Kluyveromyces lactis: one gene and its partner. The protein of the gene in region 2 interacts with the protein of the main gene of each other region in a pairwise test. Links are inferred from orthologs where the notes say so. Each region holds a gene or a part of one and is shown on either strand. Other genes may lie near its edges. The genes, in order: ATP23 and MIA40.

Region 1 (2,828 bases), on a different chromosome or scaffold from region 2:
TTTTTCGAGTTTTCTTCGTTCCCAACGCTTGTATATCAGATAGAATACCCACGCACAAAACGTATAAGATGGTTTTACGTTTTTGAGAAATGTTGCGCGATCTTTGGTATCATCTTTGTCATGATGGTTGTTGCACAACAATTCATGCTGCCTGTTATTTTGAAAGCTAAAATTTTGGCAGATGCCAACCTCACATTATGGGAAAAGAACCTGGTATGGCCGAAGCTCTTGTTGGACTTGGCACCAGGTTTTATTATGATGTTTTTGTTGGTCTGGTATTTGATTTGGGATGCAATTTTAAACTGTGTGGCCGAATTGTCCTGTTTTGCAGACCACCATTTCTACTCTGATTGGTGGAACTGTTGCTCCTGGTATGATTTTAGCAGATTGTGGAATCGTCCGGTGCATAGCTTTTTATTGAGACATGTATATCACAGTTCGATTAGTGCGTATCACATGAGTAAAGTTCAAGCCACCTTATTCACATTTTTATTAAGTTCTGTGTTTCACGAGCTAGCCATGTTTGTTCTTTTCAACAAGTTCCGTGGTTATATCATTATCCTGCAAATGTCACAAATTCCATTTACAGCTTTATCAAACATTCCATTGCTCAGAGATAAGAAACTATTTAATAATGTTACCTTCTGGATTGGGATTTGTTTAGGACCAAGTATGACTGGTTTGCTGTACTTGATCTTTTAATTTTGGAGCAGAATAACCAAAATGATGAAATATTCATATGAATGGTCGTCGAATAAATATGTACAAGGTTAAGGTAAATCTAGATACCTTTTATATAAAAGAAAAGTCAAAAAGTTTACAATACAAGGATAATTTTATCTATATATTTCATCAAATGGTCTTGTGTCATTGAAGCATGAGTCCCAGACTTCATCTACAACTCTTTCCGCATGTTCTTTATCTCTACAATTTGGATTTCCTGAAACGCTGATCGCAGCACGTCTTTTCACACAAGCTTGATGACCTCTATCAACCTTAAACCCAGTATTGAACCCACGTCTTGCAAATTCTTGGAAGAACCGACACTCACCACTCAAACTTGAAGCTCGAATCTCAGAACAGGCGTGATGCCTCAAATTTAGCCAATCCACTTCCCATTTCAAATTATCGAAATAATGCACCAATTCATGCGCCAGAGTGTCTTCCAAATGCCATTTATCTTTAATTCTATTCTGACAGATTAGAATACCTAAATCTGGATGAAAACCACCAGATTTCCAGTCCGGACATACATCACATATAATCTTCGATTCGTCAAACTTGAAAACATCTGCATTAGTATTTTTGTTGTTAAGTTTGGCTATCTGTTGCGTCATAAAAATGACAGTTGGTGAATAGTTTAACAACCAATCTCTATACTCATAACATTTGGAACACTGTTTACGCTGTAGCACAAACTTGTAATCATTCTCGTACTGTGTCTCCTCTTCCGGTGTCAATCCCAGGCCCGTTTTGTATTGGAACGTTCTTCTCCACCAGTTGAAGCCGCTAACAGCGGATTCTGATTTCGGCGGATTAGGTTTTATCAAATCTTCCTTTGGAGGCGGTGGTACGGACATTTTTCACTGGCTATCGCTTCAGTACACAGGTTTGCAAGCCTTCCTTTTCTTAATCTAGTGCTGTTGGTTAGGTAGATATTCAAATTTTCTTATGATTTCAAGTGATACTCGAATGAAGAAGATGACCTACGGAGATCTGTTTCTGTGCAGAGACAAAAGTGAGATTCAGCATAAAATAGTGTGTTCATCCTGAAATGAATATAAACATTTTTTCCTTAGATCATATAAACACTTAGGAATGCTATCAATGGTTCATTTCAGAAATGTGTATACAACATTGCAATCTTCTTTTCACACACGTGATTTGGTGGTTTTTCCTTTCTATACCTTCACTATTAATAATTTTTCGATTAAACTGATTTGAGCTGGCGATGAGCTATACAGCATCTCTCGAAGTTGTTTGAAGATATTAGTTGCCTTTCTGTCTAGATTCATTCTCAGTAGTGCCCAGACTGACACAATAGCTATATCAGACTTCAGAAGCATGAATATTTGGATCGCAGCTAGTAACGGGGAGACCGAACTAGTGGAAAAATTTATTAAACAAGGCCAAACCGCAAACGACAAGGATGAAAACGGATACACCCCAATCCACGCGGCTGCAGCATATGGTCATATCGACCTGCTAAAGAAGCTTGTACAAGAGCATAATGGTGATGTAAATATCAAGGACTCTGACAATGACACACCACTTCACCATTGTGAAGATGCGACTACAGCCAGGTCTCTAATAGAACAATTAGGAGCTGATCGTGAGCTTTTGAATAACGAGGGAAAGACATGCTTCCAGGTGTGGCAAGAAACATGCGACGACAACTTGGACCTTTTGAGATATGCGGAAGAAGTCCTCGGAGAAACCATATTCAATACTTCTCTTGGTATTGATAAAGAACAGTTAAATCAATTTAAAGACAACATACGTTACACGTTAGAGAACGATCCAGTAGACGAGACAGATCCCGAATCTTTGGAACGTAGAAAGAAACTAGAGAGCATAATTCAGGGTGAAAACGCAGAAGAAGAGCTTGAAAAGTACATTAGAGATTTGATTCATAATCAATTCTTTTCGAATAACAATGACAGTTCGGAAAACAATAAACGAGTCAAATAAAAATTGGAAGCGTAAAAACTTTATTCCACTAGAAATACCTAATCAAAGGTCGTCCAGTGTTATAATTCATGTATTTCAATTTCGCTAGTGTATGTAATCTATTAAATCATCAATCGCATAGTGTCAATGATTTTATG
Region 2 (3,422 bases):
ACTTTCGGACCATGACGAACGGCTTTCCTTGAAAAGTTTAATTGAAAGCACTGGCCAGTCGGAATCCAGGTTCAACGCTTTTAACAATACACCCATGACCAAAATTTCTACCACCTTTAAAACTGTTGTAGAAACTTTTTGTCATGATCATGGATTATCCTTCAGAAAAACTGATAATGATACTGCCTCAATTAATATATTTGGCAAAGAGAAGGTAGCTCCGGTATTCACTGTGAGTAAATATAACAATAAAAGAGTAAATGTAGTCCTTATGGGAGATATTTTATGGTTACAAAGGAGAAACAGAACAGAATCAAGATTTGAGCCAATTTTTCTCTACCAATTACTGGATCTAATTTGAAAACAGAATAAGCATGGCATATCATTAGGAAAATGTCTTTATGTAGTGTTTATACACGCTATCAGAACATTTCATTGGATTTTTGTTCGTTTTCACATTGCCATTATGTCGAATGGAATTGTAGAATGTAATAAGAATGTATGTTAATTTTTTTTTTATTGGACAAAGAAGGCGAGTTCGATGAACAGGTCAGTTCATTACGAGAGCCATGGGCTTTTATTTGAATTGGATATAACACAAACAAGGGAACCACGTAATTTTTTTAATTTCTTTAGCTTTAGTTTTATTATCTTTGTTCAAACGTCAGAATTCATGATGCTCATTGGCAAATTTAAAAAAGTATCTTTAACGGCAGCAGTTCAGGGTCGGGAAGATTCTATTTCTTTTCATCGTCAGTGTTCGTGACAGCGGCAGCTTCAGGAGTATCCTTTAGTTGAGGGTTTTCTTCCACATATTTTTCCAAGACAGGTTCGAAAACGGCATTTTCAGTTTGTACTTCAACAGTAGAGGTGGCAGTTGAAACCGGGGTAGTGCTCTTATCCTCGATTTTTGAAGCTTCTGCAGAAGCTTCTTCTTCATCCTTGATTTGTTCAGCATAATAGTCTGGGTATTTTCTGAAACAATTTTGCATAGTGGAGAACTTCTCAACACAGTTGATACCCTTTGGATCAGCTTCAGAGTAGACAAAACATGAAAAAGCGGACTTAAACTCTTCACCGCAAGGACCGTATGCCATACCACCTAAACAAGGACAATCCCAGTTGATTTCACCAGTTTCTGGGTTGTATGCAGTTTGTTGTTCGTTTTTTTTTTCACCTTGAACACCTGCAGCCGCAGCAGCCGCAGTAGCGGACTGTTCAGCAGTGCCACCGGAGATAGACCGAATTTCAGCTTGCTCTTCTGCTTCTGTTATGGTCTCAGCTTCAGCAGGAGATTTTTCATGCAAAACAACATCCGATTCACCTTCTGAACCGTCTTTTGAGGCGGTTTTTACGGCATCTGGGCTTGTTTGTTGAATCTCCTTTTTGTCAGCTTCATCTTCTAAAACAACACCCTTGGCAGTTTTTGAGTCATCGAAGCTCAAAGAGGGAGCTTTGGTATCCTCGGAAATGCCAGTAACAGGTTCATTGGTGGCTTCTCCACTGGCAGCTGGTTCGGTAGCTTGTTCATTGACGGATTCAGCAACTGGCTCAATGGCAGCTGGCTCATCTCCTGATAAGGTGGCTGCTAAGGCCTGGTGTGTCTCCTCGCTATAAGTAATCTCGTTCTCAGGAGTAGTAACTGGCTCAGCACCTTCCTCCTGAGCAGACACCGGAGATTCATCGGCATCCTTCGTAGGTTCAGAAATAGATTGTGATTGGCCCGCTGCAGGAGTCTCTTCAGCAGGCTTCTCAGCAGGAGCAGGCTTCCTCTCAATCAAAGTAGGACACCCATCAGCAACGTAGATGGCACCAAGAGTACTGAACCCAGCCAACAACAATGCTGGCTTGTTCATATGGCTCACTCCACCGGAAGGTGGATGAGCACTGTAAAACCTAATTTGTCTAGCGGATCTAAAAGCAACACGTCTAGTAGCTTGTAAAGAAACACGGAACATTGTCTTCAAAAAAATATGTATATGCCTATAATCAATTGACTCGTCAGCAACTTTCAAACGTTTTCTAAGTGTACTGTAAAAATACCAAACCTAACTAAAAGCAAATTTCTTTCCTCCCGTTGTGGGTATCAATCAGCTTCTCTTTTAAATGTTCCTTTGACAAATTGAAAATGCCTTTGTTAGCAAAAAAAAGAAAAATTCGAATATCAAACAAAATGGATATTGAAGCATTGTGATATGAGGATGGGAAATGATGATGTATTTTGAAGATAACACGGAGACGAGAAGGACAGTGTTATAGTACACGTATAGGGGATCTAAGAATAGTTAAGTTTGGGCAAAATAGTAGCTTTTTTTCTCATTTGACAAGTGGGAGAAAACAGGATACAGGATACAAGGATGAAGATATATTACATTGGAGTTTTAAGAAACAGCGATGATAAGACCCTTGAATTAAGTTCTGTGAAGGACTTATCACAATTTGGGTTCTTTGAAAGGAACAGTGTTGCACAGTTCATGTCCTTTTTCAGTGAGACTGTTGCTGGCAGGACAAGTGCTGGTCAAAGACAGAGTGTTGAAGAAGGTAACTATGTAGGTCACGTTTACGCAAGGCCTGAAGGAATTTGTGGTGTTTTGATTACGGATAAGGAGTACCCAGTAAGACCAGCTTATACGTTGTTGAACAAAGTATTGGATGAGTATTTGGTAGCGCACCCTCCTATCCAGTGGAAGGACGTGACGGAGAGTGACGATTCGCTCAAGTTGAAGGAGTTGGATATCTATATTGCCAAGTATCAGGACCCATCTCAAGCTGATGCAATAATGCGTGTACAGCAAGAATTAGACGAGACCAAGATCACGCTACACAAAACCATTGAAAACGTATTACAAAGAGGTGAGAAATTGGACAATTTGGTAGACAAGTCCGAATCACTATCTGCTGCATCGAGGATGTTCTATAAGCAAGCAAAGAAAACCAATTCGTGCTGTATAGTTATGTAGACGGATTTGAAATAGAGGCCAAAACATGGCCAGCCTGATCATATATAGCCCTTGCTACGAGTATTAAGCATAATAGTAATCAAAATAAAGTAATAGTAAGGTTTCACCGGCGTTTTGACCGCCACCTTTGATCAGCCTTTCGTTCCTTCCTGTCCACTAGGGTCTGATTTATCTATCATCATCTGGCTGAGTACGGGCAGCGGATCAATTTTGAAAGAAATTTTCTCCAAAAAAAACGACCCCGGAGAGGATTGAACTCTCGATCTTGCGATTAACAGTCGCACGCCTTAACCAGCTTGGCCACGGAGTCTACTTGCTGGACGCTGTCTTTTGTCCAAGATACCATAAGGTCCAAGACCGACCATTGCCTGCTCACCTGATATTACGTTATCTGCCTGTTAAATTCGGAGTACTTACTCACAGCGTTATCCCCCCCAAACACATAATATACAGGAGGTAAAC

The links.
Region 1: the proteins of MIA40 (region 2) and ATP23 interact in binary tests that used the Saccharomyces cerevisiae proteins (3 or more experiments, as listed by UniProt). The link is inferred for Kluyveromyces lactis from reciprocal best matches to the Saccharomyces cerevisiae genes MIA40 and ATP23.

What each region holds. Positions count from the first base shown.
Region 1 is NC_006039.1:795,296-798,123, reverse strand, and holds ATP23 (putative metalloprotease), read right to left. Parts: upstream 1,581-2,828; coding exon 837-1,580; downstream 1-836. Other genes in the region: ARE2 (sterol acyltransferase), read left to right, coding at 1-702; KLLA0_C09108g (uncharacterized protein), read left to right, coding at 2,065-2,691. UniProt on the Saccharomyces cerevisiae protein: Has a dual role in the assembly of mitochondrial ATPase. Acts as a protease that removes the N-terminal 10 residues of mitochondrial ATPase CF(0) subunit 6 (ATP6) at the intermembrane space side.
Region 2 is NC_006040.1:228,102-231,523, reverse strand, and holds MIA40 (Mia40p), read right to left. Parts: upstream 1,959-3,422; coding exon 738-1,958; downstream 1-737. Other genes in the region: mRNA splicing protein SPP382, read left to right, coding at 1-361; palmitoyltransferase YKT6, read left to right, coding at 2,358-2,960. UniProt on the Saccharomyces cerevisiae protein: Required for the import and folding of small cysteine-containing proteins (small Tim) in the mitochondrial intermembrane space (IMS). Forms a redox cycle with ERV1 that involves a disulfide relay system.